Linked DNA regions of Caenorhabditis elegans. The protein of the gene in region 2 purifies or fractionates together with the protein of the main gene of each other region. This does not show direct contact. Each region holds a gene or a part of one and is shown on either strand. Other genes may lie near its edges. The genes, in order: asg-2, F01G4.6, cox-4 and rpl-15.

Region 1 (5,458 bases), on a different chromosome or scaffold from region 2:
TGCGTGTTAGTTAACACGTGATTAATTATTTAATATTTATACATACAATGAAAGGAAGTTAAAATAGCCTCTGACTTTAAAACAAAACGTATAAAAGTTAAAGAAGCTTTGTTTCAAAGAAACTTTAGCTGCGGAGCTCAAGTATGAACACTTGAAAACGAAATCTGAAACTATTTTCAGTTTCAGGAGATAACTGATAATTTCTGAGTCTATAAAATATAACTTTTATTATACGACTTTTTAATTCCAAAAACAGGCATGTTCCAATTCATATTTCGGTTAAGATCCACGTGCTATTAATAAACCTACCTGTCACAAGTATCTCGTAATGCCAAGGCTGTTGCCATCATACTGTCATCCAAAGTGTGAGCACGTAGCAGAGCAGGGCTCTTTTCTAGTCGAGAAAGTGTCTCGATAAGTTGCTTCGGAGCGTCATAATTTGAATAAATGTACACGAAATTATCCCAGCGCCACAGATTTATAAGTCTTTCCATTAGTTGAGAATATTCCATCGATGGATACAAATTTAGTGATGTTTGTTGTTTTCTGAAAAAGCAAGTAAACATTGCTAATACTTTTTAAAAGCTTTTATCAAATTTAAATTTTAAAAAATGTTACTTTTGATATCCGGGTGTCCAGTAATAGTGGATAAATAGTATATTCAACTCTGCACATTGCTCTTCAATAATGGATCCACTCTCTCTGTCGACAACACCAATAATAACACTGACTTCTGAGTTTGCGAGATCGCATACTAAAAATCGAGGAGAAAAAATGTGAGAACTTTTTCCATTACCTTACTTTTTGTGTTCAAATCTTCGTGCGAATTTTTCAGTGCAATAAAGGATGTGTGAGTGATAAAGCAAGCTCCTCGCGTTTTCACAATTTGTTCATTGATTCTTGGTACTATAATATTCACGGCGGTTCGTACAGAATGCTCCAAATGGTGACTCGTTATTAATCCTTAAAATTTTTTTTGCTGATGAAACCCAATTTGATTGCCTACCAATCCGTATTGATGATACACCTGTTCCTAGGAAAGATAATAGTAGAAATCTGAAGATGTTGAGCATTTCAAATGCATTTGTTCAGCAAGTTCTTTCATTTTATTCTTAATTGGTTGATGTGTAGACGATAATTGAATTGACTGATTTTCCCATAGTGTTGTCACAAGCACTAAAAGAACTTTGATTAGTGGGCGTTGAAAAAAGCAAAATACAAAGTTCTAGCAGAAATTTGAAAGATAAAAAAAAATGTTAAATTAAACATTTAAGAATATTTTTCAATGTCTTTTTTTAAAACTTTTATTAAAGCTTTTTTTAATAAATTAAAAAATAAATGTCATATTTTTGTTTTAAAACATCGTACTTTTTCCAGAAGAAAACAATCTGTACATTTGCACCTTGTAAAACAATTCCGTCTTCAATAAAATCGATACTCCCGCCTGTGCCGGCCAAAAGATGGGAAGGAAGATGGAGAGGTAACATGTGCAATTGCGCTCCATTGAGAAGGTCTCATAACGAAGAGGCAAGTCTCTGGGAATTCAAGGCGGTACACATCTCATTTACGGGTAAAAATACACTAATTTTTGCTTTTAAATCAACTTATTAATTTGTTTTAAAACTTTAGATATTTTGCCGTGTTTCTCTGAGTGTTTTCCGTCAATTTTTGTTTGTGTCAATGAATTTTCGTTTCAAATAACGTTAATTTTTCAGAATGGCTGCTCCAAAACTTGGATTTTTTGAGAAGATCGCCAACCTCACTGGGGCTTTGTACCGCCACCAACATGCTCAATTTCCACGTCGCTTCGCTATTCTGAAGGTACAGTTTTTTGTCTCTGTGTATTTATGTCTTTGGACACCGTCTAATGTTGGAAATTTAAAAAATCAAACACTACAGGCCGTAGGAAAGCACGAGCTTGCTCCACCACGTCAAGCTGACTGGCCAGCCATCAAGGCCGATTGGGCCAAAGTCCAGAGCTTCATCCAGACCGGAGGATACAAGAATTTGAGCATTAGAGTGAGTTTTTGTTAAATAAAAAAGTTAAAGTTAAAAAATATACTTTATGAATAGTTAGCCAGAACATTTATACTAGACTTTCACATTACCATACTAAACGTTTCAAACATTAAAGTGTTGCTCTATATATAAATAAACACAACGAATTCACTTGATATTACTAATGCAAATTTTTATTCATATTTGGTTATCAAAAACTTCAAAACGATGAAATTTATTAACCGGAACGTTTATTTTTTCAGGAAGGACTTGTCTACACTGCCGTCACTCTTGAGGTTGTCTTCTGGTTCTTCGTTGGAGAAATGATTGGACGTCGCTACATCTTCGGATATCTTGTAAGTTGTCATGCATTATTTTTATTAGTCATTATATCGTATTGTAGGTTCCTGCTGATTACGTTTCCAAGTCCACCAAGAAGACCGTCAAAGAACAAGAGGCTCTTGCTGCTCTCGAGAACTAAATTGTTATCCTTATGTTTAGCGGCTCGTTTTTGATATCGACAAATTTTTGATAGATTTATTTTGGAGTTTGTAAAATGAAGTATTGATGAAAAAAATAAATATAAAAATTTCTAATAATTTTTGATAAAATTTGGCTGTGTTTTGAGAAACATTCAAGGAAGACATTCTGAATGCAATAAAAATTAATTTAAATTAGAAACTTTTAGAGTACGCTCTAATAAGTTGGCATATGTACATAGATGCATGGGGAGTATAAAAATAAGAATAACATCTACACCGTAGTCAATATTTTATAAGTATATTCGTACAGCAAGTGTACTAAAATACAATTTTCACAAAGTAAATTTTTTAAATTTGAAATTGCATTTATACAGGAGGGAATAATCCTAAATCGATTTTTTTTTGAGAATATCACCAAAAGTCTGGTGTTTCTCATAATTTTCCGATTTAAGGGTAAACTTGGTCCCCTGTACCACCCCTTTATAACTTTTCTGCGCGCTTACTCATCTCTCTATTTCATATCAAAATATATGAAATAGAGAGATGAGAAAGCCACAAAGTTATGAAAAAATCAAAAAAAAAATCATGTTCACTAACCAGTGACAAAATGCCTTTCACATTCATAAAATTAATTTCACCGCACATTAGCAATATTTTGGCATATTTACAAATTTATTTCAGTGAATTATGGCCGAAATCAGTTGCAAAATAAATATATACATGTATGCATACAAAAAACTAGTTGAGAAAAGGTTGTCACTATTGATCCTTGCCCCTATGATACACCCCACTATGCCTACTGGATCCTGTGAAATTTTGAATACTTCGTTTCCATAGAACCCTAGTCACCCAAAAGTTTGCCATCTCGGAAGAAAATTCTCAGATTTATATATTATTCAGTATGCAGGTCTCATTAGTTTTGCAAGCTTTTTCTTAAATGAAAATCACACTTTCTCCTTTCTTTCATATAATGATTTTATGTAAATTCACCAACAGTTCATGTTATCAATCCTAGTTCATGAACAGTTGCACGTCAACAAATATTTTCAAAAATTAATTACAGTGCCGGACATAAAGGTATGCAGAAAAGGTTTTTCGTGAATTTTTTGTGAAAGTATTAGGTCTCCAAATAAGTTCCGGGTCAAAAATCATAACTTTTTTTGCCTTTTATAGATTTTTTGAAACTTTGGGAATTCATGTTATCAACTATGACCTTTCATTTTGAAATAGTCACAAAATTTTTTGACCACCCGGAGTGCCCTAACTCGAAGCCATTTTTTTCAGGCATTTTTCTGATCTCGCTTCTTTGCAGCTTTGAACTAAGGTTTGTGTGCGGATTTTACTATGTTTAGAATACATCGTAGGAAATCAACAAAAGTTTGGAAAAAAATCCGTCCAAAAAAATTCTTTTTGGTCGGCCGTCAAAAAAACTTCAAAAAAAATTTCTTTCGAAAGTTTTTGATTTTTAGTATAAAAATGATGTAACCATGTGTAAACTATTTTTAAACATACAAAACATTTGAGTTTGAAAATTGGATCTCGAGAAATACTCAAAAAACTCAAAAATATTCTTCGAAAAAATTATGTTTTCTATTATCATTTGAGTGTGACGAACTTAGTTAAAATGTTTTGTATTTGTAAAAATAGTTCACACATGACTACATCATTTTTGTATGAAAAATCAAGAATTTTCGAAAAAAAATTTTTTGAAAAAAATAAAAAAATTTTTGACCACCGACCAAAAAAAAATTTTTGGACTGATTTTTTTCCAAACTTTTGTTGTTTTCTTACAATGTATTTTAAACAAAGCGAAGTCCGCACATAAACCTCAATTCAAAGCTGCAAAGAAGCGAGATCAGGAAAATGCTTGAAAAAATTCCTAGTGGTCAAAAATTTTTGTGACCATATCAAAATGAAAGATCATAGTTGATAACATAAATTCCCATAGTTCCAAGAAAATCGATAAAAGGCGAAAGAAGTTATGATTTTTGACCCGGAACTTATTTGGAGACCTAATAATTAAAATCGATTCATTTTATTTATCTAAACTCCATTCCATGTAGATTCCACCAAAAAAAAATTCGCGTTTGGTGGCTGTACTTGCATTTTTTTTAATCGAGCCGAAAAAAAGTTTGCTCACAATGTAAACGGTTTTTGCCAATCTTTCGCTTACCTGACAAACATCTCTCGGAGTTGTTTGTCACTGCAATCTGTGGTTTCTGAGTGTGAACAATGAATCATTCTTTCCGAGTAAAATAACAATAACTGAATTTATAAAGCAATATCGGAAGATTCCGTGACTCCAGATGTTACATTCTAAAAGCATGTGATCGAAATAGAACAACTTTATTAATCTTTCGGATAGAATCTATTCTCGGAATCTGCTCGATCTATTAATTTAGTTTCTCGTGATAATAAGTAACATTAACTCAAACAAAAAAAACTATAGTCCGCAGTGTAAGCGAAATGTAAACATAGCGGTATTTGTGACTCGGGCCAAACAACACGAAAAAGTCAATAATTTAAGTGAACTTATCAACGACTACTTATCAACGTTTATTGACTCTGTACCCTTTGGCAGACATTTTTTGTAAACTGGGAGATTTTTCTGGCAAAACATGTGTTTACTTGGACGACGCTGAGCCACAGGCACATGTTTATCGAGTCCAAGACAAACAACCGCCTAGAAAAAAGGACAAGTATAAAAAGGTCAGAGGTGACTGGGATAAACCACACCAAGTCTAAAATGCAGTTTACCATTCTTCTTGCAGTGAGTTTTCCATCCAATAAAAACCTTTTAATTAAAACAATTTCAGCTTTTTGGCCTTGCTTCTGCTGCCACATACTATTCATCAACTCCAAGCTATAGCAACTCTTGTAAGTAATATAATAGAGTTGTTAGATAATAGATAATAGAATAGATAATAGAGAGTAATATAATAGAGAGTGTTAAATAAAAAACTTTTCAGACAGAAGTT
Region 2 (6,397 bases):
TAAGTAAGATTAAAATTTGAATACCTCATCAGCAGCTGCTCCAAGAAGAGCTCTTGTCCATGCCCAGCCACGTTGCTCGTCGCGGAGCATTTGAATCTCATCGATTACCGCAACCTAAACTTTCCATGAACTTGAACTATATTATTTCAGACGCTAAATTTTTTGATCTCTGCTCTAAAAAGACTGTACCGGGTCTCGACGCGACAATTTTATGTTACAAGATGTGCGCCTTCATAGAGTACTGTAATTTCAAACTCTAGTTCCGGCTTAAATATCGATTTTTTGTATTTATTATACCGACAAAATTCTAATTTAAACTCAAAAATACTAATGTAAACCACAAAGTTCAGCAAATTAATTATTTGCAAATTGAGAGAAAAATTATTGAAATTACAGTACTCTTTATTTAAAGGCGCGCGCCTTTTCGAATTTAACAAAAATTTGTCGCGTCGAGACCGGATAATCTATTTTTGGCGGAAAATCGTCGAATTTTGCGTCTTGAAAAATTAAAAAATTGAAACCTCGACTCGCATTTGTGTTGATAACATTTCAACTGTAGATGAAAGATGTTGACTTGGATGATGATTATCTTTTGCGAACCTTAAAAAACACAAATTGGAACTAATTATGAAAATGTATATTCAATTACCTTCTCTCTTCTCCAGTAACTAAATCACATGGTATTCCAAGTTCATTTGTTCGATGAAACACTTCAGCAGCAAGTAATTTCAGTGGTCCACAGAAAACTGCACTTTTTGCCTCACCAAAACTGAAATAGAATATTTGGAAATCAATTTATTGTTTCAGATAATTACCGTTTAAGAGCGTGATATGTTTTTCCACTATTCGTTGGTCCAGCGTGAAAAAAGATCTTTCTTGTCACACTTCTGGCTTCAGGATACCAATTGTGCGGTCTTGTGAGATCGGAAATGATTCGCAAATCGTCCATCGCTTCCAAGTGGGGAAAAACCTCAAAATTTCAGATAAACTCTCAATTAAGATAGTTTTCGGAAACCTGTTTGGCATGATCTAAAAAGAACGGATACAGCATTTCACAGTCTTTTGTTCCTTTTGAAATATCGCTTAATAGAATAAGAAGTCCAGGATCAACAGAATTTAGGTCTTCTGGTGTACAGTACTCTCTGAATGATTTGAAAGATCGCATGAATAATTTATCATTGATCCCGTTTTCTTTGGCAAGTTGGCGTACCATTGGACGGCGCATAAATTCATCAAGGGACATGTGAATGTTTGTCTGAAAGTTGAAAAATGAGCTTTGGAAGATGCTGGAGTTGGCATTTTTGATGAGATCGAATAAGTTCTTACATTATCTAGTGATCCAATCCATTCTCCCATTCCCGCAGCTGTTTGTGTTACATGTTTAACTTTTCGAGGTTCGACAATATCCTCAATAGTCGCAGTTTTTCTCACAGAATTCCTTTTTCTTCTAGAATTCATTGCTGGAAATCTGGAGGAGGATGGGGTTGAGCTGGTTGAACATCTTTGAGTTAGGCCTCCCAGAACTCGTAAAACACCAGACGCCCTTCTCATCTGTAATATTTGATAGAAGTATGCACACGCTGAAATAGAAATAGAAATAACGGAAATCCAGAAATTGTTTTGAAAACGTTTATACGTACGCCAGAAGAGATTCATTCGAAAAAATGATGCAAACGTAAACAATAAAGCAATTTTACACACAAAATAGAAATTATTCCCGAGGGTTCAGCGTCTACTTTGAATCAGCTCGCGAAGATTCGTTTCAGCCTCCACCAATCCTTTCTCCAAATAGTCTTTCTGCTTCTCGATAGCTTCAATTTTCTCTCTGAAAATGGGATTGGTTGTGTAAACTGTTTTGAATGGAAGAATGAAATTACTTTGACTGTTTAGCTTCAGCTTCATGTCTGGAAATTTCAGCTGGTTTGTCGGTCAGCAGGAACATACGCCCAACAGATCGATAGTACTTGAGGTTTTCATCCAAATCCACCAAGTTCTTTTTTGTGCTCTCTGAGATCCTCATTTTCTGAAAAATTTAGTTATTAGAAGCGTTACTTAAGAGAAAAAGTTATACTTTTATGTTTTTAAATATTAAAAATGCTGAGTGTTTTTTAATGGATGTGTGTAATGAAAAAATACCGATGTACAGCAAAAACTTTTTTGGCAAAGCTAGATTGTAGTTGTGACTAGCTGTGACTATTTGTGACTTAGGCACAAGCTAAGAGGTGAAACTCGCTAGTTTCTATGTTATCAAGTTATGATGTCATACATTTCTCATAATATTTAAAGTATATCAAATTTCAATATTTAATATTCAAAAATACTCACCTGATAGTTAACTTTCTTATTTTGTTCTCCTTGAACTATCCGCATTCGTGTTTCATTGGTTTTGAATTGCAAGTCGCGAAACGCTTTTGAGATCTCCTCGTCGGCCATTTCTGAAGTTGTAATATGAAAGTTGATTTAATAATTGAGACAAAAAAGAGTTGCGTTAAAAGAAATCACGAGAAAAGCAAAGAAAACAAATTGATTATCTTTGAAAAGTTGATTTGGAATAAACTTTTGAGAGATGGATTATTTATCCACAAATTTTAATTATTTTATGATTTATATATGTTAAAAAATGAGATACACCTTTTAAATGATAAAATAATAATGCTAGAAAACAGAATTTTAGATGTTGTAGTCATATTTTAAAATAAAAATGGAAAAATCGAGTAGAAATGTTTGCTGGCGCATTGCCAGAATCGAGTTAGATGTGCAGGTCATATAGCAAAGTGACGGGAGACGACTACGGTAGGGGCCGACCATGGCTCAGAGAACGTCCATGATATCTTTTGAGGCGGTTTGCAGGCCCGCCAGTGATAAATTATCAGTTATTCTACGAATTTCTTGAATTTTGAGTTTTATTGTAGATTTTTGAAGCATTATATTGCAAAATCATCTGTGATATTTTTGTTAGTGTCTCTTTTACATTTTTATACTTCCCGCATACTAATTTTTCGTGTGAATATAAATGTTTGGCAATAATTTCGGTAATTTCCAGGTAACCACCATGAGCGTGTTCAGCCAGCTTGCCGAATCATCGAAGCAGAACCCATTCAGCTTGCCGGTCAGGTCGGGTAACTGCGCCAGTGCTGTTTCAGCTCGTAAGTATTAATTGAATTTAAAAAAAAAACTTAATATATTAGCTAGCATAATATTGTCAGTAAAATAGTAAATTCACGTCCTACTTAGATTACTTTCTAGAATTTAGTTTTTTATTAGGAGGGGTAATGACAATCCGAATTTTTCTTTACCTGCATTCTCTGTTCCCACTTCCCGTGCAGCGCATGTGCACACGTAAATTGACGAGGGCTGCGAGAGGCACGGCGGAGATAGTATCTCGCGAAAAGAGAATCGAGACAGACTATTCCCTCGTTTTGCAAAACGTGGCAACCGCGTTTTAAAAAGACATAGAATCGAATATCTGTCTGCCGTTCGACGTCGTTCACACGTAAATTTCACGTGGATCATTTACTATCTTCCACGTTATTTCTATGCTACCACATGCCTAGGCGGGATTATAAGCATTGTTATAATCGCTTATCAATGACGTCCGAAACGGAAGAGAAGGCTATGCCATTCATAGCTCGAGCCAAATCTCCTCATCTCCAAACTGGAAGGGCTGGCATTATAGTGATATTATGCATGTGGATTATAATTTATTTTTGGGGTGTTACCCAACTAGTTGACGGGTTAATGGACTGGCTGGCGTACGGGTCCACTCAATATGTTGCACGGGTCGCGGTTGGTGTTGTCACCACTGTAGCTTCTTCATATGAAGGTTTATCGCTCGAACTATACAATTTAATGTTTTTTTGTTACAGCTGGACAAGTTGAATTCGGAAGTGGCAAGTACTACGCTTACTGTGCTCTCGGAGGAGTTCTTTCTTGTGGAATCACCCACACTGCCATCGTACCACTTGATCTTGTCAAGTGCAGAATTCAGGTATTACGAGAAAAATCTATTCAACTTAATTGTTTTCTTTTAGGTGAATCCAGAGAAGTACACCGGTATTGCTACTGGTTTCCGGACCACCATCGCCGAGGAAGGAGCTCGTGCTCTTGTAAAGGGATGGGCCCCAACCCTCCTTGGATACTCCGCACAAGGACTTGGAAAATTCGGATTCTACGAGATCTTCAAGAACGTCTACGCTGACATGCTCGGAGAAGAGAACGCATATCTCTACAGAACCTCTCTTTACCTCGCTGCTTCCGCCTCAGCTGAGTTCTTCGCTGATATCCTTCTCGCCCCAATGGAAGCCACCAAGGTCCGTATCCAAACCTCACCAGGAGCTCCACCAACTCTTCGTGGATGTGCACCAATGATCTACAAGGCCGAAGGACTCACCGGATTTTACAAGGGACTTCCACCACTCTGGATGAGACAGATTCCATACACCATGATGAAGTTCGCTTGCTTCGAGAAGACCGTTGAGGCCCTTTACCAATACGTTGTTCCAAAGCCAAGAGCAGAGTGCTCCAAGGCTGAACAACTTGTCGTCACGTTTGTTGCTGGATATATCGCCGGAGTTTTCTGCGCCATCGTATCTCACCCAGCCGACACTGTTGTTTCCAAGCTTAACCAAGACTCTCAAGCCACCGCCGGAGGAATCCTCAAGAAACTTGGTTTCGCCGGAGTCTGGAAGGGACTTGTGCCACGTATTATCATGATCGGAACCCTCACAGCTCTTCAATGGTTCATCTATGATTCTGTTAAAGTGAGTTTATATCGGTATTATTTTTCTTAATTAATAAAAAAAATTCAGGTCGCCCTCAACCTTCCACGCCCACCACCACCAGAGATGCCAGCTTCCCTCAAGGCCAAGCTTGCCGCTCAACAATAATTGCACTGACTAGATAATGATTTTGATTTCCTTCCTTAATCGATTGTTCTAGCCATTGTATTAATTTGAAATCCACCCAATTTGTCTCTTTTCTCTCGGTCCTACTCTCACTCTTAATTTTTTATAACTAATTAGTGCACCATGCTCGGTTTTAGTGTGATTATCATTTCCTTCATTTGTTTCAAGTTGTCCTTCAATCCCGATGTCTTCTTTTTTGAAAGATGAGTTCTCTGGCAGTGTTTTTATAAATCTCCTCCGAACAAAACCGATCGAAGAATATTGTATACGTTGGTGTTAATTTGTGTGTGTTCTCAAGAAAAGACCTCAATTGGGTAGTTCAATTAATACAGTCCACCCTCGCTCGTTTTACCGTTGAATTCCAATAAAAAAAATTGATAATAACGTGATTTTCAGAATTTATGGATAAAATTACTAAAAACGTGGTTTTAATCAGGACATTAGAAGCAAAAATTCTTCTCGTCCGGTTTGTTTCCTGAGATATTAATATTTTATACGGAAACTTAGTTTCTAGAACATTTTCCTTCACACGTCTGTTGCTTCTTGATGTTGCTTTTTCAATTTACTTATGGAATATTTGGACACCAAATTGGGAATGGACAGTCAATGAATTTTGGGATCAAACTGGAAATGTTGCTGATAATTTGAACGGAGTAATAATATTTTGAACTTTATGCTCTTCAATAAGAATTTTCAGACAATAACATGGCTGAGAAGTAATCCAGCTGGACTTAAACTTAATACTCCCGTAAATGAAACTCTTGCATGGTTCTTCACTTATCACATTTATCTATGGACAAGTATGCTCTTTTGTTTCCAGAAATTCGCATTCAACTTTCATAATGATTTTTCAGCTTTCATTGGATTTCTTCGTTCTGATGCATTCTTCCGGTTCATCGCATACTCTTTGATCGGTGGCATTTCAACATTTTCTGCGATGGTTTACGATTTCTCGCAAATATTTTTCTTGCACTTCAATTGTTTTGATGCCTACGCTACCAAGTAATCGGGAACTTCAATTGATTTTAAAAGATAATTAATTTTTCAGATTGTGCTACCTTTGTTACTACACTTTAACAGTTCTTTGGAGCCTTGTGAGGGGAAAGAAGTGGAATCCATTGAGAGAACGAAAAGACACTGTAAGAGTTTTCTGGTATACCTATGTCATTTTGTATAAATATTTTCAGGTAATCCTCGACACTCGTCAGCAATTCCTGGCAACTTCTCTGTTCGTCATCCTTCTTTTCATTCTTCCTACAATTTTTGTCTACTTCGTCGTCTTCCGATGTCTTCGACTCGCTGTATCGGCACTTCAAACCGTGCTCTATTTCTTCGCAACGTGGCCATTTCAACTGTTTGCTCTTGAAAAACATTTAGCTGAAAAATACGGAAAACCAGCGGATGCACAAAACGAAGCATTGGCTGAGAAGAAAACAAAATCCCAAAACTGAATTTGGATATATTCAATTTTGATATCTTCGGGTTTTGTTCTC
Region 3 (5,732 bases), on a different chromosome or scaffold from region 2:
AGGACGCGGTGGACGCGGAGATCGGGGCGGATATTTTCAAGAGTAGAAGCTCGATTAATTTGCCCCTCTTAAAATTATCATTTTTTCATTCCTCGTTTTTTTAATTGTATAATCTTAAATTTTTCCGATCTTCAGATCTCCCACATCAATTGATTTCACAATTTTCTCGTTGTATAGTAAAAGATTTCAATATCTACTTCAACTGCTTCAAAATTCGAATAGAGGAACACTTCTTCGATTTTTTATCCGTTGGATTGTAGTATTACTCGATATCCGCACGTTTCATCAAAATTTCGAGTCTGACGAAGATCTGAATTAGTACACTGCAACTTTTTCCTCACGAGGGACGAGGAAAAGTTTTTTCCCGTTTTTTCTTATTAAAACTGATAAATAAATACTTTTTGCAGATGCTAAAACAATTTCCAAGTAAAAAAATTATGTTTTCAGTCGGCAAGCAGCGTGAAAGTGGTCAATGCAATATGATGGATTACGGGAATACAAAACCCAAACTTTTTCCCAAACATGATACATATGATGCTTAGATGCTGACATTACCTGATTTTCATAACGAGACCGCTGAAAAAGTTTTGAGGTTTCCAAAATTCAACTTTTTGTGCGAAAATCTCGACTTTTTCAGCGGTCTCGTTATGAAAATCAGGTAGTCTCAGCATTTAAGCAGCATATGTATCATGTTTCAGAAAAAGTTTAGGTTTTGTATTCCCGTAATCCATCATATTACAATGCCCACTTTCACCGCTGCTTGCCCACTGAATACATGATTTTTTTACTTGGAAATTGTTTTAGCATCTGCAAAAAATATTTATTTATCAGTTTTATTAAGAAAAAACGGGAAAAAGCTGTGAAAAACGAAAGAAAACACGCGGAAAAAAAGCAAGATAAATGGCCGCTGAAACTTGTCGGCCCCTCGGCCATGGCCTAGAAACCACTTTTCCTCGTCCCTCGTGAGGAAAAAGTTGCAGTGTTGGGGTAAAAAACTACGCTGAGCTCGATTTTCAGCTTTTTTGGGGTCTAAAAGCTGCTCTAAAAGCCTAAAAGCCTTAGTTTTAGCTAAAAATCCCAAATATTGTACCTTCAGAGCCCACAACATAATCCATATTCTCAGGATTCCGTCCACATTGCCCAAAATTATTATCACCAATCGCAAAAACGCCCAAATTGGTTCGAATCAGCGAGTGCGCTCTACCGGACGAAATCTCGAGAATTTCGTCGCCGGGAATATTGATTTTCTTTGCGGATATATAATAATCCTGATATTTGTTGATATTCGTCAATTGGCCACCGATCTGGAAGCTAAATTCGTGATTTTTGAGGGTTTTTTGGTATTTTTTACAATTATTAGGGAAAAAAAATCAATAAAAACAGCTGTTTTTTTTTTGATTTTTCGCTGAAAAATCGATTTTTTAGAGCACTTTTTCGTAAAAAAATGGCTTTTTTTTGGCGAAAAACATGAAATTTCTCAAATTTTTCAGAAAAATTGTTTAAAATAGGTAGATTTTTAAATTTTGAGAATTTTCTGTGAGAAATTAGAAAAAAAGGGTTTTGGGAAGAAATTATCGAATTTTCGTTGTTTTTTCTCGGAAAAGTCGGGATTTTTGAGGATTTTCAGTGAAAAACTGCTAAAAATCTGCTTTTTGAAGCTTTTTGGCAACGTTTTATCGATTTTTCGGAAAAATAATGAGAAACCCCCTAATTTTTGTATTTTTATTCAATTTTTCAATGAAAAATCGTATTTTTTCCAATTTTTTTGGGAAAACTCATTTAAAAACGCAATAAAACTGATTTTTTCGATTTTTTTCCAGTTTCTTGAGTTTTTTAATCGATTTTTCAGATTCTTCCGCTCATCTTGACAAATTTAAAGCCCTTTTTCAGAAAAATCCAGCGTTTTTCAGAGTTTTTGGGCCAAAATCGCCAATTTATCGATTTTTCCAGAGAATTTCCTGCGAAAATCCCACCGATTATTAATTCCAGCACCGTAGAGGCGATTTTTCGACGCAAAAAGCGAAAATCCAAAGCCTGAGCTTATAAATTTTTTTATAAAAAGTTTTTCTCAATTTTTCACCCAAAAGATTCAAAAAGCAAGAGCGCTCTATTGGACTCAATTGGCTGCGTACTTGAACGCGTGTAAAACGTTGATTACTCAGTCAACACGATTTACGGAGTGAACAGCCCGCAACGGCGAGCCGTTGTTACATTGCCAATTTATTGATTTTTCTGGAGATTTTGCCAAGTTTTATGCAAAAATTAAAAGGAACCACATATTTCCATCGTTTGTTCGTATTCCGGCTAGTTTAATCCTTAAAACACGAAGAGAGAACGGTTTTTGATTATTAATATATTGCACCCGTGTGTTCTGTTGTTTGTTCGTTTCTGACTAAAACTATCCTCTTCCACGTTTCCATCGGTGTTTTCCGTCGGCCACTTTAGAAATTACTTTAGAAATTCATTTTTATTATGAAAATAGTTCATTTGAGTATGTTTTTTTCATTTCTCCACACTGACGCCGGATTTACCTTTTGTTTTTTGGTTTTTCCTGCATTTTCAACCCATAAACCAGTTATTTATTTCAGGTATGTTGGCTCGTCAAATGATGCTGCCACGTTTGGCTCTCCGCGCAGTGCACACCACCGCCCGTCTGTCCGGAGGACAGGAATTCTACTGGGGACCCGATAAGGCCGCTGGACGCGAGCTCGTCGGATACGGAGCAAATGGAGATAACGTACGCCTTGTTTATTTTATAAATTTTAAATTTAATTAATTTATTTTTCAGATCTACCAAGATCGTCTCGACTACTGGTATCCAGCTATTCGATTCCGCAAGGAGGACAGTGTGATTGCCCCAATTCGCGCCAAGGAGCAAGCCGACTGGAAGAACTTGTCTGCTGAGGAGAAGAAGCTCTGTTAGTATTCAATTTTCCTCGACAAACTTGAAAATGTTGCTAAGTTTTCAGTGTACCGCTACAGCTTCCGTCAAACGCTGTCCGAATTCGAGGCTCCAACCGGATACTGGAAGGTGATCTCCGCCGTTATCCTCTCCGTGCTCGGACTTTGCACCTATTATGCTGTTCTTCTCAACGTCTGCGTGTACCCAGAACTGCCGCCAACCTTCCAGAACGAGTACAAGGAGGCTCAGGTTGAGCGTGCGCTTGTGCTCGAGAAGGGACAATTCCTCGGTGCACCGACACACTACGATTACGAGAACAAGAAGTGGAAGTAAAATATAGAGATTCAGCAGAAATAAAATAAAATTTTTTTGTAGCTTCTTTCTCGTTTTTATAATTCTCTCTTGGTTGTCGTCGCTCCCCCCGCCCCATCACTCTCTCGTCAAACATTCAAGCTTACCTTCTTCTTCATCGCCCCAACCCTCATCTGAAACCTAGATAAGCTGTAAATCTCTCCTAGCGGTCGAACGCACTGACCAATTCTTTCGTCTCCCCCAATTTTTTCTTCAAATTTTCCAAGTGGTTCGGCTTCTTGAGAGATGGGCTGCCCTGTAAACCAGAAATAAATAGATTGAATGTTGCTGTTAAATCCAGGAGGCAATAATTTATTTATTTCTTTACAAAAGTGAAATTTTAGTTTGACACTCGGAGATAGCGGGTAGTAGCGAGGAAAATGGTTCGGGTTGGGGAGAATCTGATTTAAATTGTGACATTTTCAGGATTTTCGTCATTAAGTGATCCGATTTTTGCGATGCGTCCGATTCGTTTCCATCGGTTTCTGGAAGTTGAGCAGTTGAAATTGTGGAAGCACTTTTCGATAGACTGGATGGCTTCCCAACTCGCTTGATCTTCCCGAACAGTGCACCCATCGCAGCCATCGATTTTCTATGAACCGACATTTGAGGGATCTGAAACTTCTAATTCTAGATTTTGAAAATCTCAAGCCACCCAAACCGTAATCTTTGCCACCGGAACAACTGAACCTTCAGCGCCAGTCAGCATATTCCTGCCAACCTGAATCTGCTCAGCGACCGACGAAATATACTCATTGGCTTCTTCCAAGGATTTCAGACGGATTGCAGTATTATTAAATAACCGAACAGTAGATGGCCTCCAAATGAATACACCTTCGAGAGTTTCCAGTCGAGCACATTGTCGATTATTTCCAGATGTTCCTGTTTGAATAGTATTGATATCTTCCAGCGCAACGATTTGCACATCAGTCATCTTTTCTCCATCGATTTCATAGGTTACAATATACAAATTGGAGCGGGTTAATATGACGACTGTGTCGATTTCATCGCTACTTTGGAATGCGTTAATCAATCCCCAGCCAGCGATGACAGTTTGCTGGGTTGGAACCAGGAATTGTATGGTTTCAGTCACCATTCGACTGATATTCTCTTCTTCTTCCTTCTCATTTTCCTCTTCTTCTGCATTTTCGTCGGCTTCCGTTTGTCCTGTCACTATATTGATGGCTTTTTGGCGTTGAGCATCTTTGGTGTGTGTTAGGTAGTATCTGAAAACGGAAAATTGTGTAGTTTGTAGTGTGAGAATGTTTTTGAATTAGAAAAAATGTATTGAAAATGAACATTTGAGGCGGAAATTGACATTCGGTTGAGGATGAGAGACTACAAACTACAAAATTTGGGTGAGGCTACAAGATTCTGTAGTTTGTAGTGTGAATTTTGTGCTTTTTTATTTTCTTGAATTGTAAAAAAGTGTATTGAAAATGAACATTTGAGGCGGAAATTGATATTTGGTTGAGGCAGAGACTTGGTTGAGGCTACGAGATTCTGTAGTTTGTAGTGTGAGCCTCAACCAATATTCCTAGTGATTTTCTGGTGTTTTTAACTCGGAAAACTATTTAATGCTTATTTTTTTAGGGCAGAAATACTTTTTTTAGTTTAAAGTTTCAGGTTTTTAGAACAAAAATCGATTTTTCCAGCCAAATTTGTTATTTTTTCTTTCAAAAATACTCGATTCAAGGAAAAAAATGTGATTTTTTACCGAAAAATTCGAAAAAAATAACTTATGATCAACTTTGGTGAGGCTCACAAAGAGTGTAGTTTGTAGTGTTAGCCTCACCCAAAACTAATTTTCTGGTTGAGGCTGTCAGAATTCTGTAGTTTGTAGTGTGAGCCTCAACCAAGTCGATTTTAATCGAATTTTCGCCATTTTTTCTAGCTTCCCGTACCTCGATGCACTATTATATCCATCTTTCATGACCCCCATCAGCTTCCGCTCTCCATTCCTCGTCACATCTCCCTTCAGCGCGGCGGTTCCGGCGTATTGCGTCGATATCACATCTCCATTATCAGCCCACATCGTTTGCATCGTCTGTACGAGCACTTCGGGCGGTTCGCACAGCGGTCCGAAGATTCCGAGGCGTTGAGCCTGCTGTAACACTACAAACAGGGAGATTTGGCCCTGAACAAGATTCGTTCGGTCCAGACAGTCGATACAGTTGGTTCGGACGACGCCTTTTTGGGATTGAACCACTTCTCCGGTTTTGTCGACCCAGCAGAAGCCAATGGTTTTCAGTGTTTCTTCCATTGAGGAGATAAGCGTTTGGAGCTGGAATTTGGAACGTTTTTTAGAAAAAAAATGTTTTAAAAATTAACATTTGAGGCGGAAATTGACATTTGGTTGAGGCTGAGAGACTACAAACTACAAAATTTGGGTGAGGCTACAAGATTCTGTAGTTTGTAGTGTGAGCCTCAACCAATATGAAAACTATTTAATACTCATTTTTCTCGGGCAGAAATACTT
Region 4 (5,702 bases), about 10 Mb from region 2:
AAGATATCGACTGGAGAGTTGTGCTCGAGGGAAGCAGTGACTCGGGACTTCTTGGTAAGAACCTATTTTGAAGATTTTTGGGAGATTTTTTAAAAAATCAATTGTTTCCAGATTTCAACGCCCGATCTCTACTGTTCCAACTTCTTGAAGGACGTCAATCGGCTCGAGATTTGCTCCGTCATCCGTATTTCAAATCATTCCGCGCTCCACAGCACCAAACTGTCGAGCGAAAGCATACTGTAGTTGGGCAGAAAACTTCTGATGAAGTTTTAGGTAATAATAATTTTGAAATTTTTATCGATTTTCAATAAAAGTTTTTCAGACAAACTTCGAGAAGAACTTCAACGATTCAATCCATTCAACATGTCAGAGATTATGCTCTGAACATTTTTTTTTGTTATTTTTTTTCTATTATAACACGGGTTCTGGTCTTCCTCATTGAATTTTCCGTGTTTCATTGACAATCGCCGCCAAGGCGTGGGAAAGTCGTGTACTCCACACGGACAAATACATTTAGTTTTACAACTAAAATCGAGCCGCGGCGCGCCGTAAATCTACCCCAGATATGGCCGAGCCAAAATGGCCTAGTTCGGTAAACTCTTCCATTTCAATTTATGAGGGAAGCCAGAAATCCGTGTTATAAGAGATATATTCCCCCCACTAGTTCGAGTTTCATTCCCCCATCCATGCGGTTTCTTGTCTGTGGTTCCCGATTGAGAACGATAACTTTGAAGATTTATTTCTCATTAAAAAAAAATAAATAAATACTTGTTTCTTTTTTATTCTTCTATATATTTTTCATACTTTGACATGAAAAAAAAATTCAAAAATGATCATGTTATTTTCCAAATCCACCACGGCACGTCGGACTGTCTTCTTGCTTCTGTCCGTCCCACTTGCTGGTTGGAATAGCGTCGATTCGAAGCGCGTGGACAGTCGTGGCAAGCTCCTTGGCAAGACACGTGTTCACAAGACGATGTCTCTGAAAATCAACATTTTTTTGGGTTAATACGGGCTTCCAAATTTTGTGAAAACCATAGAAATTCGTTTCAAAAATTGTGCCCGTAAATCGACACAAGAGCTACAGTGGGGTCATTTAAACAATTACTGTAGTTTTCGCTACGAGATATTTTGCACGTCAACAGAATTTTTTGTTCTTATAATAACCATAATTTGGGTCTCGTTAGGTATTGGGGCCGCAAACACGAAACTTCCAAATTTTTGAACTATTTTCGCCAATTTTAGCGAAAATTTGCGATTTTTGCTCCAAAAATGCGGTATCATCCGGCGGCCTCGAAACTAAATTTTCTGTTACATTGGAAAAAGAGTGCGTCTTTAAAAAAATACAGTAACTTCAAAATTTTATTTCTACCGAGTTTTTATCGATTTTTCATAGTTTTTCTCGCGAATTTATGTGTTTTTATTGTTATGGGTTTTTTTAAATAAATAAATAATTTTTATCGAAAAATTATGAAAAGTCGATGAAAATTGCGCAGAAACGAGTCCTTGAAATTACAGTACTCTTTAAAGGCGCACACCCGTTTGTATTTAACAAAACTTGTCGTGTCGAGACCAGATATCATACTTTTAGCCACGAAATCGACAAATCCATGTTTTTAAGAAGGAATAAATTGGCGATAATGTTGAAAAAGCAAATGTTTTAGCTGAAAAATTGGTAAAGCCTATGAAAAAGTGCCGTTCCACGGCCTTTAGCGAGTTTTTCCATGTGTTCGACTAATCCATGTATCGATCTTTTTCCACCAACCTCGATGACACGTTTCCCCTCGAACTCATCACTGACAACTTGCACTCGGAAGTGCTTCTCGGCTCCTTTTGGAACGTTGTGCAGGTGGCTCTCGCATTCCACTTCGAGATGTTTTGGCTAGAATTCAACAGTTTCCTTCCGACATATTTAGAGATCAGTTTACCTGGAACGCGGCGAACAGCTTCTCCTTGAGAAGACGTGCTACTGGGCCTTCGCTCAATGTGCTCATTACTCTTTTCATGAAGACTGTGATTTTAAAAACTATTTCTTTTTTAATGTGAAAAATACAAAGATAAAACAATTAGGTTTGATAACAACCATTTCATTTTCGGAACAAGCCCAAAACAAAATAAAATAACAAGATTTATCGCTTGCGGTGGAAAACTTTGGTGTTCTTTCTCTTCCAGTTCTTGGCTTGGGATCCTCCGCGGGTAGCAGAGAAACGCCATCCCTTTCCGAGTCCACGAGACTTGCGTCCAGCAGAGGTGAGTCCTCTTTGCTCACGGTGCTTGTGAACTGGCTTGGTGATCCATTGGGTGTCTGGGTTACGACGGATAGCCTTGTGGAATGGATCGATCAGGACAACCTCGTAGAACTTGTAGGTGGAGTCCTCAGCAACCCAGTAGGAGTTGAGAACACGGAGGGATCCAAGACGACGTCCAGCGCGGCCCTGAAATACAACGAATTAACTTTGAAAAGTAAATGCTAATATCTGAAAATTTTGTTTAAATTGTCACAATGTCATGAATCCAATACACCACAAGGTGTTCGGGGATTACACAATGTTTTTCTATAGCCATCAGTGGATTAAGTCAGTACTATTAAAAACAGTCTGCTTTGCCCAGACACTGAGGCAACAATTTCATCTAATCATTTAATTCGTAGTAATCACCTCAGCAACGGCTTGCTTAGACTTGGCGTTCTTGAGCTCGTTAACTCCATGGGTCTTTGGCTTTCCGTAGGTTTGTCCCTTGCAGACTGGACGCTTTCTGTTTCCTCTGCGGACACGGACGCGGTAGACAACGAATCCTGAAAAATGAAATTTAATCTCAATAAATTGTATCAATGATATGAAACTGGAAAGTTCTATATAACTCAACAGGGATTACTCAATGAATTTTATATAGCCATCAATGGATTAGGTTGCTCAAGCGGGTGCAGGGCACCTTGCCCAGACATTGTGGCAAGTAGCTTTTAAAATTTTATTCAAATCTTTACAATCTTACCTTGCTTGGCACGGTATCCGAGACGGCGAGCCTTCTCTGGTCTGGTTGGGCGTGGGACACGGTGGACGGCGCTCAACTGTCTGTAGTGCCAGGTACGAATACGGAGCAAGTAGCGAAGAGCATCTGACTGCTTCTTGCGCCAGATTTCCTGCATATACTTGTATGCACCCATGTTTTCTGAAAGAAAAAAGGTTAGAATAACGAGATTGAGGGGTTGAATAAATAAAATTGTTGAAAAAGAAAAGTGAATCGAAGAATGGAACATAGTTTTTTAAAATTCTGGCTGACAGAAAATCTATTTCATCAAAGTCCCAACATTTTGGGCGGAATTCTGCGTAAAAATAACAAACTACTGATTTTTTGCCAGTAAAAATTAAAATTTTAAATTAATTTAACAAAATTCATGAAAAACCTAGGAAAACTTCACTAAAATTGCTGAAAAATCCAAAAAAATCGTTTAGGCCAACAAAACTCGTGTGTGAAATGAGAAGACGCTCTCATACACTTCGCATACACTCGAAACACGCTCCACAATGCAAACACCGTAGTCCGGCGGCTGGCCGTGTGCCAAGCCTCGTCCGCCGTAAATCGACACGAATTGTTTGTGATTTTTAATATGTTTTTCCTTGTTTTACAGGTTTTTTCAGGTTTTTATCTGGTTTTTTCGTATTTTTAATTGATAAAACATTATATTTAATCGAAAAATATCTATAAAATCAGTAATATTCGGTTTCTATCGAATAAAAAAGTCATTTTTCTCCCTAAAATGTGGTTTTTATTTGTAGAACTTTGGAAATCCGGCATAAAGCTATAATAAATGGTTTATCCCTTATTTTAGGCTACGTTATTTTCGCTAGACATTCTAAAACATCTAGAACTTTCTAAATTTCATAACTCCTCGTTGCATCATTTTTTCCCACGTGACCTCGGTTGTTTTCATCACAAACAAACACAATTTCCACTTTTCTCGTCGTATTCTCATCATTTCAGTCAGAAAATGTTGTCTCGTCTCACGATGACCGTTCCAAAAGTGGCGACTTTCACCTCGGGAGTCCGATTTTTCGCCAACACCGCCGCAAAATCAGCTCGTTATGGAGGAGGGCAGTCCGGATTCGGTTCTCGAGTAAATCAAGTGAGTTTTTCAATAATTTTTGACGAGAAAACGATTTAAAGAGTTCAGGGATTCGGAGTTCGCACTGGACCAACGCTGAAGGAGCGACTTTTGGGACCAACTACTGGAAAACGTGAGGATTTTACTGGAATTTTCAATTATAAAAAGGCCTACATATATTTCCAGCATTCGTCTACGGAACCTATGCTCTCGCTGGAGCATCCGTCTTCGGAGTTGGAGCTCTCATGTACTACGGACTCGTCTCAAAAGAGCAGAGTATTCTCCAAAAAAGCGCAATTTGGCCATCATACGTCCGTGAAAGAATCAGCACAACGTATGCTTATTTGGCTGGAAGTCTCGCTTTAACTGCTGTCAGCGGAGTTGCAGCTTCCAGAAGCGCGGCGATTATGAGATTGACCGCTGGCGGAGGAATGATGGTAAGGGACGAAATATCCCCGAAGAAAAGCGAAATTCGTTGTGAAATCCCTTGAAAATCCCGGAAAATGGGCTTCGAAGTCGCTGGAAATGCCCGATTTCGTCAGAAAACCCGGGTTTTTGTGTGCTTACCGACTGAAAATTAACCAAAAAATCGATTAAAAAAGGCTTCAAAGCCGCTGGAAATGCCTGATTTTAACGTTTTCCCGTTTTTTTTTTTTGGGCTTATTCAGTTAGAAAACCGCATTTTTGAGTGAAAATTGCAAAAAAAGTTCGAAATTTCGTCATCTCATGACTGAAAATTGCGAGTTTCAGGACCAAAAAATCAATTTTTGGCTAATAAAAAGCTTGGAAAACGAGAAATTTTTTGCATTTTTATCTACTCATGACTGAGAAATGGAATTTTCAGGTCCAAAAAATCAATTTTTTAACGAAAAATTGAAATTTGTCGTAATAATCTCTTATTCTGTTGTTTTTGCAGCGATTTTACTGGTTTTTAGGTTCAAATTTGTGTGCATATCAATTAAAAACCCGGAAAATTAATGATTTTAACTAGTTTTATCCACTTTTCGAACAATTTGAACTTCCATAAAAGGTTGGAGGTCATTTTTAAAAATTTTAAAGCAATAAAAACTTTAAAAATTATCGGAAATTTAATAAAAATCAATTTTTTCAGTCACTCTTCGGAACAATGGCTGCAATGATCGCTTCGGGAATGCTCGCCAGATCAATTGACTACGAGAGCACCGTCGCCAAGCATCTCGCCTGGGCTCTTCACTGTGGTACGGCGGATTTTCAACGGAGAACTTGAAAAAAAAAATCAATTTTGTGATTTTTACAAACTAAAAAGGCCGAACTTCGATGAAAAATTGGTCGAATTCTGGCTAAAATCTCTGATTTTGTCAACTTTTCCGTGTTGCAGCGGGTGGAAATTTACTGTTGTAGGATTATTCTACTGTTTTGCATAAGTTTTGGCTCGGCTAGCTTTTAATGTACCTAAATCAACCAAATATATTGTAAGAAAAACTATATTTATATGCAAAAAGGACCGAAAAAACCGAATAAAATCAATTTCCAATAGCTGCGAGACGGAAAAATTGACAAAATTTGAGATTTTTTAAGCCGAAATTGGAAACTTTCCGAAATTTTGATATAATTATATATA

Evidence for each region.
Region 1: the proteins of F01G4.6 (region 2) and asg-2 fractionate together in Caenorhabditis elegans (co-fractionation; one large-scale study listed by BioGRID). This does not show direct contact.
Region 3: the proteins of F01G4.6 (region 2) and cox-4 fractionate together in Caenorhabditis elegans (co-fractionation; one large-scale study listed by BioGRID). This does not show direct contact.
Region 4: the proteins of F01G4.6 (region 2) and rpl-15 fractionate together in Caenorhabditis elegans (co-fractionation; one large-scale study listed by BioGRID). This does not show direct contact.

What each region holds. Positions count from the first base shown.
Region 1 is NC_003284.9:6,839,543-6,845,000, forward strand, and holds asg-2 (putative ATP synthase subunit g 2, mitochondrial), read left to right. Parts: upstream 1-1,715; 5' UTR 1,716-1,716; coding exon 1,717-1,821; intron 1,822-1,899; coding exon 1,900-2,019; intron 2,020-2,261; coding exon 2,262-2,354; intron 2,355-2,401; coding exon 2,402-2,479; 3' UTR 2,480-2,579; downstream 2,580-5,458. Other genes in the region: glr-6 (Glutamate receptor ionotropic, kainate 2), read right to left, coding at 310-546, 619-754, 802-963, 1,007-1,073; C53B7.3 (DUF7107 domain-containing protein), read left to right, coding at 5,227-5,250, 5,297-5,357, 5,450-5,458. UniProt on the Caenorhabditis elegans protein: Mitochondrial membrane ATP synthase (F(1)F(0) ATP synthase or Complex V) produces ATP from ADP in the presence of a proton gradient across the membrane which is generated by electron transport complexes of the respiratory chain.
Region 2 is NC_003282.8:11,146,151-11,152,547, reverse strand, and holds F01G4.6 (Phosphate carrier protein, mitochondrial), read left to right. Parts: upstream 1-3,346; 5' UTR 3,347-3,588; coding exon 3,589-3,823; intron 3,824-3,866; coding exon 3,867-3,988; intron 3,989-4,031; coding exon 4,032-4,760; intron 4,761-4,808; coding exon 4,809-4,886; downstream 4,887-6,397. Other genes in the region: C08F8.2 (ATP-dependent RNA helicase SUV3 homolog, mitochondrial), read right to left, coding at 25-114, 522-600, 650-769, 816-970, 1,016-1,255, 1,327-1,551; pfd-1 (putative prefoldin subunit 1), read right to left, coding at 1,726-1,825, 1,878-2,023, 2,326-2,433; pigq-1 (PMT_2 domain-containing protein), read left to right, coding at 5,306-5,370, 5,419-5,557, 5,602-5,704, 5,759-5,906, 5,953-6,043, 6,092-6,355. UniProt on the Caenorhabditis elegans protein: Transport of phosphate groups from the cytosol to the mitochondrial matrix.
Region 3 is NC_003279.8:13,655,985-13,661,716, reverse strand, and holds cox-4 (Cytochrome c oxidase subunit 4), read left to right. Parts: upstream 1-2,588; 5' UTR 2,589-2,605; coding exon 2,606-2,737; intron 2,738-2,788; coding exon 2,789-2,918; intron 2,919-2,969; coding exon 2,970-3,235; 3' UTR 3,236-3,546; downstream 3,547-5,732. Other genes in the region: sac-2 (SAC domain-containing protein), read right to left, coding at 3,578-3,868, 3,915-4,479, 5,158-5,537.
Region 4 is NC_003282.8:651,409-657,110, forward strand, and holds rpl-15 (Large ribosomal subunit protein eL15), read right to left. Parts: upstream 3,169-5,702; 5' UTR 3,164-3,168; coding exon 2,992-3,163; intron 2,954-2,991; exon of another isoform or gene 2,821-2,953; intron 2,795-2,820; coding exon 2,658-2,794; intron 2,623-2,657; exon of another isoform or gene 2,494-2,622; intron 2,436-2,493; coding exon 2,130-2,435; 3' UTR 2,072-2,129; downstream 1-2,071. Other genes in the region: K11H12.9 (Protein kinase domain-containing protein), read left to right, coding at 1-54, 112-273, 323-384; Putative bolA-like protein K11H12.1, read right to left, coding at 839-982, 1,766-1,882, 1,929-1,994; K11H12.8 (Growth hormone-inducible transmembrane protein), read left to right, coding at 3,989-4,123, 4,172-4,235, 4,289-4,539, 5,214-5,319.